3 linked regions of the Macaca mulatta genome follow. The protein of the gene in region 2 purifies or fractionates together with the protein of the main gene of each other region. This does not show direct contact. Links are inferred from orthologs where the notes say so. Each region holds a gene or a part of one and is shown on either strand. Other genes may lie near its edges.

The links.
Region 1: the proteins of MTNR1A (region 2) and GNAI3 purify together in Homo sapiens (tandem affinity purification; 3 studies listed by BioGRID and IntAct, with this or other methods). This does not show direct contact. The link is inferred for Macaca mulatta from reciprocal best matches to the Homo sapiens genes MTNR1A and GNAI3.
Region 3: the proteins of MTNR1A (region 2) and GNAI2 purify together in Homo sapiens (tandem affinity purification; 3 studies listed by BioGRID and IntAct, with this or other methods). This does not show direct contact. The link is inferred for Macaca mulatta from reciprocal best matches to the Homo sapiens genes MTNR1A and GNAI2.

Annotation. Positions count from the first base shown.
Region 1 is NC_133406.1:130,655,091-130,659,547, forward strand, and holds the start of GNAI3 (guanine nucleotide-binding protein G(i) subunit alpha-3), read right to left. Parts: upstream 2,847-4,457; 5' UTR 2,694-2,846; coding exon 2,576-2,693; intron 1-2,575. UniProt on the Homo sapiens protein: Heterotrimeric guanine nucleotide-binding proteins (G proteins) function as transducers downstream of G protein-coupled receptors (GPCRs) in numerous signaling cascades.
Region 2 is NC_133410.1:194,969,567-194,974,033, forward strand, and holds the start of MTNR1A (melatonin receptor type 1A), read right to left. Parts: upstream 2,906-4,467; 5' UTR 2,704-2,905; coding exon 2,514-2,703; intron 1-2,513.
Region 3 is NC_133407.1:113,709,898-113,714,272, reverse strand, and holds the start of GNAI2 (guanine nucleotide-binding protein G(i) subunit alpha-2), read right to left. Parts: upstream 3,041-4,375; 5' UTR 2,911-3,040; coding exon 2,793-2,910; exon of another isoform or gene 2,472-2,792; intron 114-2,471; exon of another isoform or gene 1-113. UniProt on the Homo sapiens protein: Guanine nucleotide-binding proteins (G proteins) are involved as modulators or transducers in various transmembrane signaling systems.

The sequences.
Region 1 (4,457 bases), on a different chromosome or scaffold from region 2:
AGCAAATGGGAATTAGGATTTGAAGCAGTCTGACTTCAGGACCCATGCTATTAATCACCATGTTAAACTATACCCCCATAAGAAAATATATCATGTGCCAGGAGACACAAGGGTAAGTAGATAGATCTCAACTTAAACTAAGTTCCATAGTGATAAAGTAAAAACGACTTGCATCTACAGCAAAGGAGATATTATTCAGGAAAAAGAAAACTGTATACTGTTTTGGGTACATTTTGCTTACAGAAATAGCATAGAAGATAATTTTAATTTTCTATGTGTGTTATGATATGGTTCAAGCAAGAACATATGTTTCTGCAAACTATTTGAATTTCTGGATTTAACTTGCTCAAGAATATTAAAAAAAAATCTTACTTAAAAAAGAATGAAGATAAAAATTGAAAGCAAATATGTTTAGTACTTTGATTTTTACTCACTGCTTACTCAGTTCCCTAAGTCATCAAGTGTCTAATTCTGCTTTTAATTAAATGCACTATTTGTAAAATCCTGAATAAAAATTCTTCTAGACATATGGACAAGTTCCGCCTGTCCAAATTGTGCCTGCCTAATCCTGCCTTTTGGAAGAAAGTCTCAAAAGTTTCCAACTACCTTACAATAAGCTGATGTCCTGAGGGTATCTCTGTTGGTCAGTGTAAATCAAATCACTCATAGAAGATGAGAATACATCTTTAATTTCATAACCAATAAATCAATAAAGAAAATGTTGGCCAGGCGCGGTGGCTCACGCCTGTAATCCTAGCACTTTGGGAGGCTGAGGCAGGCGGATCACGAGGTCAGGAGATCGAGGCCATCCTGGCTAACACGGTGAAACCCCGTCTCTACTAAAAACACAAAAAATTAGCCGGGCGTGGTGGCAAGTGCCTGTAGTCCCAGCTACTCAGGAAGCTGAGGCAGGAGAACGGCGTGAACCCGGGAGGCAGAGCTGTCTCAAAAAAAAAAAAAAAAAAAGTGAATGCCCTAAATATTATAGTTTATATCAAATTTCTCAAAGGCCCCAAGGACCAATGTTCAACATTTGCTGGCTCAGGCTGGTTAACAGTAAATATTTAAGGAGCACCTACTATGTACCAGGGACCATGCTTATCTACTTGTTATACAGACAGTGGCAGTCTAAAACAATTTGAACTCGCATCTTCTGAAAGTTCAAGTATACAAACCGGAAGCTTAAGCTCCAATACATAACTTTCCCTTTATAGTATATCCAAAAAAGCTATTACCAGAGCTTCTGCAATCTACAACCAACCAAATACGTTAAGAAGAGACTACCGGGGCACTTAGCATGTCCTAGAGTACAAAATTAGTCTTGGGTTACAATGGTACATTCTGTTCTCTGGAGCTTTATACCACGAAAATTTAGCACTTCCCCTAAAGTGACTCCTTTTCCTCAAAAATCAATTGTTTTAAAAAGTAAATTTCTATTGCTTACAGAAACCCCTACTCCTACTTATTCATCTCTAATGGAAATACTACCCTAGAAAATACTAATAATGAAATGTGGCTTGATTTATTAGTAAGCTAATGCCAGGATTCTTTGTATGATTTACTGAGCCTCTCAAAAATTTTAAAACTCATGTTGAGTAAAACACATCCGACTGCACAAAAAAAGCCACTTAAAACGACTATCAGATAATATAAACAGTAATTCCTGAAACCAATGGTTTTGCTTTGAAGAGGCCAAAATGGATACAACAGCCACCAGAAGTCTACCACAGTCTTTACAGTAAATATGTCCAACTCTGTAACTTATCCTAAGGTAACTATTCCAACTGCACATCATCTATAGCAACTGTTCAGCACTCTCCAATGTGTAATCTCTTGTTCACTATATCTTCTGCTACAAACCTCAAACAAATCATTCTTTAAATTTCTTTAGCTCACACCATTTCCGATCCTTTTATAAAAACAGAAGGCGTTATAAAACCTTGAAAATAAAAATGATAGAAAGCGGTGGAAAGGTAGAGATGGCCTCTGCACCCAAACTCTTTTCCTTTATACTTGATAATTTGTCATTTATCTCGTCTACCTACCTTCATGTTCCTGGATAATCCAGGGTTCCTCCAACAGTTCAAAAGGCTCTCTCATTAACAAATGTCAACGTCCTTATGTGACCATTCTGTTCCAGTCTCTATACCATCCATTCAAGCCTCCTAGCTTTATCCTGCCAAAGAACCACGACGCTCCAATCTCACAAACCATTACCAACACGCTCCAACCCAATGTAAAACCTTCCCGAGTATCAACTCTTCCTTTATGAGCTTTTCCCATATTCCTACTCCCTCAATATCCTACCTGCCCATACTCCCAAGTCTCTCTGCTAAACGCAATTCCAGTCCGGAGTCACACCCTCTATAGCCTAATTCCCGCAACCCCAAAACCCCACCCCCCTCATCACGCCCTCTGGGGCCTCAGCTATGAACCCCAACACCCCGCCCCACACCCGGCACGCCCTCCAGATCCCTTTAGAGTCCTTTTCGTCGGCCCGACTAGACCCCGTTCAGGCCTTCCAAGCGCCTAGGCTCTCCCGACCACCACTCAGTCCCCGCCTCCAGCCCCTCACCGAGTAGCAGCAGCTTCACTTCTTTGGCCGCTTTTTCCCCGTCCTCCCGTAAGTTGCGGTCGATCATCTTGCTTCGCTCCACTGCCGCCTTGTCTTCGGCGCTCAACGTGCAGCCCATGGCGGCGGCGGAAGAGGGGACACCTGCCCGGGCTCACTCACACACCGCGGGAACTGCGGCTCGGCAGGTTAAGGTAGCGTCTACTGCTGGGCGGCGGCCCTCTCCGTCAGCTCCCTTAGCGCCCTGAAGAACCGGATATCCGGCGTTTACGACACTTCCGGCGACGCCCCGCAGCCTTCACTGTTTAAACCACTCTCCTCGGGGAGAGGAGTTGAGACCGAAAGCGGAAGTCACGGGGACCTGGCGGCTAGGTTGGGCGGCGGATCTATAGTTTCGAGGTTCTGTTAAGTTCACTGCCCGCCGTCCAACTTGAAGCCTCATTTACCTTTCGGCTACCTGATTTGGATAAATGGAGAAAAACCGGGGCCTCCAACAAATAATGCCCTCCCGCGTTCAAAATGCCAGTTTTGGGGCGGAGATGTCTAAATTAAAGCCTACATCCCGCGCGGGAATTTCTGCTGATAATTTCTCTGCTGTTAGAAAACTCCTTTGATCTCTTGCTCTGGAGACTCGGGGCCCCTACCCAAGTTTGGGACACTGCCTCTGTTGGGGTTGTATCGGATCAATGGAATGGGAACAAGCTGCCCGGCCTGGGCGCCGTTCACGTCTCACATCTGAGACCGTAACACCGACTGTGTTCAGGACCTTAGCAATATCTTTTTGCCCTCTCTGGCCCACTGACTCCTCTCAAAATGTCCCCTGGTCCTTATACCTTTCACGTTTTTTTGTGGGCTTGAGATTTGCTTAACTCCTATGTTGGCAAAAGGCCACATGAAATCACTAGCAGATACTCGATGACCTTAAAGTTAAGCCTGTAGTTCCTCCATAAAATTTCCATGCTGCCCTTCTCTCCAGTATAATTCATATCTTCCTACCTTAGGGTCTTAGAACTAAAACCAAGATAAGTCAACTTCAGTTCCACACCCTGAAACAAACCAATGCATCCTGTGAATCTCCTATTAAAATTTCCTGTTGCGATTACATACAAAAGGAGAAATTCTAGTAAAATTTGCCTCTCAGCCCTATTCTCACCTGAAACTTAAGTCCACTGTGAAAGCCCCAGGCCGATAGCATCTTTCACTAATAACCCTGGATACTGCGTGAAGGTAGTCGTAAATGAACTTTTCAGGCAAATAAGCCCATAATTACTATACATTCTAGGGAAGGGAACTCAGTCCCTAAAACCTTTCCCTGTGATTGTAAATTACTTTCTTTCTCTAATAGAATCTGAACTTGAGAATGTAAGGTCCCAACAGAGAGGGCTATATAGTGATGATTCATTAATTAGAAGGATTTAATTAGAGGATTAGAGCCACTTTAAAAAGCCTCGTCCACCATAACTCTTAGCAATGCCAATTCTTCAAGGTTTGAATAGTCCCCCAGTCATTCCCAAATGACTGTTAGAATGAAAGGGACCGCTTTTCCATTATCAATACTTTTGGGGAAAAAGGGCAAGAGGAAAGGGAAGTAAAACCAATATTTATTGAGTACCTATTTGCCAGATATGGCTAGGTGCTTCCACATCCCATCTCTTAATCCTCACAACAACCCTGTGAGGTAGGTAATAAAGATCCCCATTTTTACAGGTGAGGAAGTAGGCTCAGAGAAATTAAGCAGCTTTCCCAACTTCACACAGTGAGTAAGTAGATCTCTCTGACCCCAGAGTTACCTTTTTCTATCATGCCCCTCTACGATATTGCCTGGGGACACCTGACAACAGAAAGTCTAAGGTTTTCATCTAGGATTGGGAGTTACCCCAACACC
Region 2 (4,467 bases):
CAGTCATTGCAACACTCTTATGAGGCTAAAAGGTTAGGTATTATCTGCAATTCGACAAATGTGGAAAATGAAGTTTGGTATTTAGCTTCGCTGATTTCTGAAATCAGAAAGTGCACAGCAAAGATCTAATTCCAGCGTTCCATTGCAGGAATATTCCATTATGCTATCAAATTTACTCAGAAGATATGATATGGCAGTATCACTTCTATCATCAAATTGTGGACACGAGTAGAGCGAATATTCTGTTGGCACCACAGACGCCAGTGGTTGCAGCTTACTTCGGCTGTGGCTGTCCAGTGTCCCTGCCATGCAGGTTGTTAGCCATTTTCAATTTATTCCCTGGGAAATCAAATGTCAACACAGTCCCTTGAGGGGAGGAAGGTGGCAGAAATCACGGCAATTATACCAACTTTCCAAAGGAAAGTGATGGTTCAAAGCCTAGATGCTTTCGCCTTCTCATTTCTTCCATTCTCTTCTTCCCATCATTTCATCCTTAAAGCCAACAAAATTCATTTAGCTGAAATGGGAGGTCTGAAAATCATCAAAACTTTTAATAAGCATACCAAAACTTATATTTGAATCAGCTATCCTTACCACTGTTTCAAATCACCATCCATTCCAGAAATTCTCAAATGGCTTGAACTGCACATATAAACAAAAAATCCCTATTATAAAAATACGAAACTTCTAAAGTTGGGTGGATTAAAGCTCACTAAGGGGCTCCCCTTAAAGCGACAGGAATGTAGTATTTTATGGATTGTCCTCTTAAGAGTATGTCTTAGCAAATAAAATACAAAGTGTGTGTAAGGAGCGATTTTCTTAAGTTCTTTTTCAGAAAACACAAGAAGTAAAATTGTTCAGGCGAGAACACTTTTTACTTTTTATTTTTTTGAGATGGAGTTTCACTCTTGTTGCCCAGGCTGGAGTGCAATGGCACGATCTCTGCTCACTGCAACTTCCACCTCCCAGGTTCAAGCGATTCTCCTGCCTCAGCCTCCCATGTAGTTGGGATTACAGCCGTGTGCCACCACCCAGCTGATTTTTTGTATTTTTAGTAGAGACAGGGTTTCACCATGTTGGCCAGCTGTTCTCGAACTCCTGACCTCAGGCAACCCACCCACCTTGGCCTCCCAAAGTGCTGGGATTACAGGCGTGAGCCACCACCCTGGGCGGTGAACACTTTTTAACTGAAAGGTTCTGCAGGATTCAAACTTCCCAAGTGCTGCAGTTGTTGACAGCAAGGAAGCAGGGCGAGCTCTGGAGGCCAGCTCTGGGAATTCAGCCCTGCTCACACTTCCAGTCCCTGTGAACAACCTGCAGCCCCAGTTTCTCCTCTGTAAGGTGAGTTAAGAACACACCACAAGGATGCCCTGGGATGAGTTAACCCAGTGCTCCCAACCTGTTTGGTCCAGAGAAAGGCGTTTTTGTGGGTAGGAAGGAATGAGCCTCTTTTGGAAAGCAGAATTCCTCCAGTTATTATATCAGTCACCTACGAAGTGAGCTTATTCTATTTACAAACTCAAACTCAATTCATGTTACTAGGTGCCTAACTAACTAATTCTCAAATTACAAACTGCAAAAGCATTACGGGGGGTGGGGAGAGGCAGGGGTGAGTCCCCCCAAAAGGAGCTAAACAAAATTAGAGCTTTTCTTAACTACCTAGTTAAAACAAAAATATTGATCTTGGCAGACATTTAAGTGCATGTTTCCTTCCCCACACCTTCTCCCAAAAGTGCCTCCAAATAAAAAACTAGTTTCTTCAGAGAACCAAGCATCTAATCATCACTTAGAGGTCTGAACATCCAGTATCCTAAGAACAAACTGTCCACAGGTTCCCCCCAGAACAAACCAGTTCAATGCATTGCTGGAGGAAAAAGCAAGTTTAACTCAAGCACAAAATTATCTGCAGTTGCATATGATACGTAAGTGTACTCTTTCTGCTCACGCCTGGCTACCTGCCTCCTCTAACACAACAACTTCTGTTTTTAAAGTGTCAACTTGTTTACTTGGAGGAGCCGCGGCCTGCCGGACACAGCATGTTTAGGGGCCTTTTTTTCGACTGTAGGCTCCTAACGACAGACTACTCTGAACAACAAAACCACTGCGGCTGCTCCAGCATTTTGCCAGCTTCTGTGTTTCCATATTTTAACAATGTTAGGAAAACTAAGTCCCATGTAAGACCCAGCAGTTGATCATTTCGTTGCAGAGGCTGCTTGAGGAGCTTTCTGCAACCTGGACCTGATGCTTCTCAATCTAGTAAAACTCAGACGGGACAACCAGACGGGAGTGTCCCCATAGGAAAGAGAACGCGACTCTGGCGGAGCGTCCCATCTCTTAGGGGCTGCGACTCCGTGTCTTAGAAAAAGGCACTTTCGATGGGCAGGCTGGAGGAAGAGTCCCCTCTAATAAGAAAAGTGACTCCGAGCCCGCAGTGTTCAGAAACAAGAACCCGGTGCTGGGGAGGCTGGCTGCGGGCGGAGGGGCGCTGGCCCCGGGGGCGGCGCGGGCCCTACCTGCGTTCCGGAGCTTCTTGTTCCGATACACCGACAGGATGACCAGCAGGTTGCCCAGGACGTCCACCACGATGGTGAAGATGAGGACGCAGGCCAGCGCCGATGCCAGCCACGAGGGCTGCGGCCGCGCGCCGTCCCCGCCGGGCCCGGGCTGCGAGGCGTTGGGCAGCGCGCTGCCGTTGCCCGGCATGGTCCCTGGGCGCGTCCCGGCCGCGGGGCCATCGCCCGCCTGGCCCCCCCTCCCGGCCACTTTTTAAGGCTCCGCCCGGCGCTCCCCGCGCCCACGCCCCATCCCGCGCGCTCCTCCACGCCGCGCCCCCGGACGCCCACGCCGCACCGGACGCCACGGCCAGGTGACACCTGGTGTCCGTCGCGAGCCCGCTTGGACTCCCCGCCCGCGGCTCGAACCCCGCACCACGGGCCGACAGCGCCCCAGTGCGGGAAGCCGGGCCCAGCCGCCGCGGGAGGGAGCTGTGTCCCAGGGGCCTCTCCTCGTGGGCGCACAGCGAGGCTGTTCATTCACGTGTTTCTTCTCTGCGGCGGGACTGTACACCCAGCAGGGCCAGGCTGCCTGGGCTCAAATGCGAAATGGGATTGGGGCGAGTGCCCCAGCTGTGTGCCCCACTGCCCTTATCTTCTTCTGCAAAATGGGAATAAAATACTATCTCACCGGTTAGCCTCATAATTAGTAAAATGTGAAAAAACTAAGGACTCTCTTCCGTTGTGTATTGCACCATTTAAGATTATGCTAGACGTTTCCGATAATGAAATGACATTTTCAAAGAAAAATGTAAAAATCAATATGTGCGGATGATAAAAATGTATGTACTTTTGTAAGTACCAGTAAAAATGAGACAGAAAGCACACTGAGATGGATCGGATACATGACAGCAACGTAAAAGTGCTAGGAAATGACCTAACCAGTTGTGTGCAGTGAGGAAAAAACTTTATGAAAACCATGAAAGGAAATTTAAATAAACGGAGAGACTTACAGTGTTCCTAGATTCAACGCTTGAGATTTTCATTTTCCTCATGTACTTCATGCCAGCCCAAGAAAAATATCAAATAACCTGAAGCTCTTTTGAAAGAGTAAAAACAAAGTGTAGGAAAAGGATTTGAATAAGATGAATAGGAAAGAAGTGTGACCCACCAGGATAAAAATGTTCATTAAAAATTACAATAAGTGGCCAGGCACGGTTGCTCACGCTTGTAATACCAGCACTTTGGGAGGCCGAGCTGGGCAGATTACCTGAGGTCAGGAGTTCAAGACCAGCCTGGCCGACATGGTGAAACCCCGTCTCTACTAAAAATACAAAAATTAGCCAGATGTGGTGGCACATGCCTATAATCCCAGCTACTCAGGAGGCTGAGGCAGGAGAATTGCTTGAGTCCGGGAGGCGGAGATTGCAGTGAGCGGAGATCATGCCACTGCACTCCAGCCTGGCTGACAGAGCAAGACTTTGTCTCCAAAAAAAAAAAAATTACAATAAGTATGCCAGGCACGGCTGCTCACGCCTGTAATCCTAGCACTTTGGGAAGCCAAAGTGGGAGCATCTCTTCAACTCAGAAGTTTGAGGTTTGGTGAGCTATGAGTGCACCAGTGCACTCCAGTCTGGTGACAGAGCAAAATCTTGTCAAAAAAAAAGGCCAGGTGTGGTGGCTCCCACCTGTAACCCCAGCACTTTGGGAGGCTGAGGCGCGTGGATCACCTGAGGTCAGCAGTTTGAGGCTGGCCTGGCCAACATGGTGAAACCTCGTCTCTGCTAAAAATACAAAAATTAGCCGAGTGTTGTGGTGGGTGCCTGTAATCCCAGCTACTCAGGAGCCCGAGGCAGGAGAATCGCTTGAACCCGGGAGACAGAGGTTGCAGTGAGCTGAGATCATGCCACTGCACTCCAGCCTGGGCAAAAAGAATGAGACTCTGTTTCCAAAAAAAAAAAAAAAAAACAAAAAA
Region 3 (4,375 bases), on a different chromosome or scaffold from region 2:
TTATGGAGCCAGTGGTGGACACTGTCTCCTTTTTCTGTGAAGCCGTCCACACAAGCCCATCCCAAATCAGAGACTCTCCCCGCTCACACACACTCTGGCTTCCTTTCCCTTAAGTGCCCAGATTCCACCTGGGCCTAGCTGGTCAATCACATTGAGCTGGGTAGGAGTGGTGAGCATCCCTAGCGCAGGACTGGTATCTGCTCCCCCTACCAAGCTGCCAGGAAATACTCTCTTGCCCGTGTGTACCACATCAGCCTCTACCCTGGTGACAAGAACTGTGCCCGCCTGCTGGCAGAGCTACCCAGGATGGAGGGAGGCGATGTGCAGGCAGGGCAGCAGGCGTGGTTCTGGCTGGGAGGGAAGGCTGGCAGTTGCCCAACCTGAGTCCCGTTGCCTGGACAAAGTCTCCCGCTACATGGGACAGGCGCCCAGAACTCTGAACTTGCCACAGCTGGGCTCCCATCACCACCTTGCACCTGAATGGGAAAGGCATGGCTCAAGCCAGGATCCCTCCCCAGGCAGCCATGGCAGATTGGGTCGTCAATATCGGGCAGAGCTTAGTCAGAGCCCTTTGCAGCACACTGCAGGGTCTTAACTCCCAACCCACATCCCCAACAAGAACCACCAGGAGGCTCTTGTTCTCCCCACCCTGAGCTGGGATACTCCTTTGGCCCAAACCCAGGAAGCCCATTTCACAGGGTAAGCAAAGGCCAGAAGGCCAGGACCCCAGGGTGAACTCCCCAGGCTAGAAAGTGCTAAGCCAGACCCTGCCTCCCTGGCTGCTGCCAGCCCAGTGTGGGAGGACTTGCCGGGTCTCACTTGACTTAGCCCAAAAGCTGAGCTGGGCTCCAAGGAGCAAGTCTGGTGGGATCGGGGACCCTTCTAGTGTCGGGACACAAAACTAGCCAGAAGCCCTACGTTCCCCCAGCTCTATGGTCCAGTCTTGCATTTCCTCAGTCACCACAGTAGCTGCAATCAGCCTAGGGAGAGGCTGGCTAGAGACTCCTGGCTGGGCACTGGGAGGCAGCGGTACCGGAAGTGCCCTCCCCAGGCCCATCGGGCAGCAGCAGCAGTAGCAGCGATGGGCATTCCGCCGCGTCGACACCCACTCACTGCCGCTGCCGCACTCACAGCAGAGACAGGAAGAGGCAAGCGCCCAACGCAAAGCAGCCCAGGAGGCTGGGCCGCCGCCCCTTCCCGCCCCTTCTCTTCCTCCCTGAGGCAGCAGCGAAGCGGATGCCATTTTGAAACCTCCGAGGCTGTGCCCCGGAGGCTAGGTCCGCAGGGACAGTCAACAGATGGGCCCATAATGAACATACATGCTGTTCCTCGGCCACAGGCCCAGCACGAAAAGCCTTGCTTTTCACAGCCTGGGAGCCCCATGACAGTTCTGAAGCTGAGGGGCCACACCCCCCCAGGCAGTACTCAGCCTACAACGGTGCTGTGCTGTTGCAAGGGCCTCCCTCCCCCGACTCTAAAACCCCCAAATCAAAATCAGACTGCCACTGGGCACCACCCCTACTTCCAGTGGGAGGTTGGATGGGGACAGCCAGTAGGCCCACTGTCTTTGCAAAAGGCCAGCTGGGATGCTCAGAAGCACCCTGGCCCACCCCTAGCTGGCCCCTCAACTCCTCATTCAGCTAGTCCACCATCCCCCTTCACAGGGTCCCAAGATCCAACAAGCCCCCGAACTCTCAGTGGCTACATCCCAGGCCTTGCAGCCCAGAAGGGGTGTGGGCAGCCCAGCACCTACTAGCAGATCTCTTGGGCTCACCCGCAGGGGCAGCAATATGTCGGCTATCTCACCACTTCCACTTCCCCCCACCCCTCTAGCAGCCACCATCTTTCCTGGCCTTGGAGGCGACCACAACCCTAACTCCTCCACACTCTCTCCTACTTCCCAGACTGGCCTTCGAAACTGGAAAACATAGAGCCCGCAGAGCCTCCCTGGGAAGCCTGAGGCCTGGCCCCCTCCCACAGCTTGACCAGTGGAGCCTCAGTCCAGCCCCGTGGGGGTTCTTCGTAAGGCAGCCTAGGCCCTCTCCAATCCGGGGCTCCCTCATCCTAGCCCAGCCCACTTGGTGCAGGAGAGGTGGAAGGATTGGGGAAGGCCAGAGTGTAAGAGGACTTAGTGGAGGATCAGCAGAAGGTTTCGGGAGTGATGCTTGCAGAGAAGGATCTGGAGGGCAGGAAGCAGGGAGCAGGGCTCGCTGAAGGGGTTCCAGTTGGAGAGCGGGCTCAAGAGCAGTTTCCCATTCCAGAGGTTCCTTGGGTCAGAACGCACAGGTGGAAGACACAGATTCCAGACTGGGGATGGGGCACAGAGGGAGAAGGAGGGAGTGGGTAGGGGGCCTGGCAGGGGCTCCGCGGGATGCTCATGCCCAACAGGAATAAAAGGCGCAGATGAGGAAAACAAGTGGAGCCTGAGGGTTGGGGAACAAGTGGCGGGCATCCTGGGGGTTTGGGTAAAGTGTAAGGAAGGATGGCGGGGTCTCTGAAGTTCTGTGAAGCTGGTTAGTAAGGGGGGATGGCCAAGCAGGGCACTGGACCGCGGGTGTTGGGGCACTGTTGGCTGGATTTGGAGGTCTGGGATGAGATAGGGATCTGGTCTAGAGTCTGGGCAGGATCGAAGGTCTAGCCCAACCTAGAGTTTTCAACCCTGGTCCTGGCCCAGGTGTGGGGTCCCAGACAGCCCGAGTCTGGGAGTTCGAAGCCCTAGTATGAGAGGTCAAAGTCCTTGTCTGGGGATTCGAGCTGGGAATTAAGGATCCCAGTGCGGGACGCGGCCTCACCCAACAGCAGCAACTTCACCTCCCGCGCCGCCTTCTCTCCGTCCTCCCGCAGGTTCTTGTCGATCATCTTAGAGCGCTCGGCCGCCGCCTTGTCCTCGGCGCTCACTGTGCAGCCCATCCCGCCGTCCGCCGGCCCGGCCGCCGCCCGGCCCCCACACGGCCCACGGCCCGGCTCGGCCCCGCCCGGCCCCGCCCGACCCGCTCCGCTCCCACTACCAGCCCTCTGCGGGAAGCTCTCGGGTCGGCAGTTCAGAGCGTCTGCAGGAGGCGCCTTCCCGACCGCCGCGCACCGACGGCGGGGCGGGCCGGGGGTGGGGCCTGGGCTAACCAAGCCCGGGACTGGGCCGGGGCGGGTCTGGAGGCGGGGCCAGAGGAGATTCGAGGCTGGTGATTGGCTTGAGGGCGGGGCGAAGGGGGAATGAGGCGCAGCCCAGGCTCGGGCCTCGGCTGCAGGCGTGGCCACGCGGAGCAAAGGCAATAGGGGTGGATCCAAACCCAGGGACCCGGCACTGGGCGGGTTGCAGGCGGGGCCGGGCTGTGATTGGGTGCGGAGCGCCGGGAGCTCAGTTGCTGGACAGCCGGGAGGGCGGATCTGTTAGCCCGAGGGTGGGGATCCGGTGCCCTCGAGGACAGAGCAGGAACCAGCGCTCTGAGCTTCTGCGAGTTGGGCGAGTTAGGTGGAGGAGGCGTGTCTTTGTCATTTGTTAAAGTTAATGAGTCCAATAAACTTGTTTTGGAATCTACAGAACTCGGGAGCCTTTCTGGACTGCGGTTTTCTTTGTCTTAAGGCGGTAAACCGCCTTCTCCCTCTGGGTTGCAGCAAATCGAAAAAGAAAAAACAAAGGCCGGGCCCAGGGACTCACGCCAGTAATCCCAGCACTTTTGGAGGCCGAGGCGAGCGGATCACTTGAGATCAGGAGTTCGAGACCAGCCTGGCCAACATGGTGAAACCCCGTCTCTACTAAAAATACAAAAATTAGCTGGGCGTGGTGGTGGGCGCCTGTAATCCCAGCTACTCAGGAGGCTGAGGCAAGAGAACTGCTTCAACCCGGGAGGCAGAGGTTGCAGTGAGCCGAGATCACGCCATTCATTGCACACCAGCTTGGGCGACAGAGCAAAACTCCATCTAAAAAGAAAAAAAGCCGGGCGCGGTGGCTCAAGCCTGTAATCCCAGCACTTTGGGAGGCCGAGACGGGCGGATCACGAGGTCAGAAGATCGAGACCATCCTGGCTAACATGATGAAACCCCGTCTCCACTAAAAATACAAAAAACTAGCCGGGCGAGGTGGCGGGCGCCTGTAGTCCCAGCTACTCGGGAGGCTGAGGCAGGAGAATGGTGTGAACCCGGGAGGCAGAGCTTGCAGTGAGCTGAGATCCGGCCACTGCACTCCAGCCTGGGCGACAGAGCAAGACTCCGTCTCAAAAAAAAAAAAAAAATGGGCCGGGCGCGGTGGCTCAAGCCTGTAATCCCAGCACTTTGGGAGGCCGAGACGGGCGGATCACGAGGTCAGGAGATCGAGACCACCCTGGCCGACACGGTGAAACCCCGTCTCTACTAAAAAAAAAATACAGAAAACTAGCCG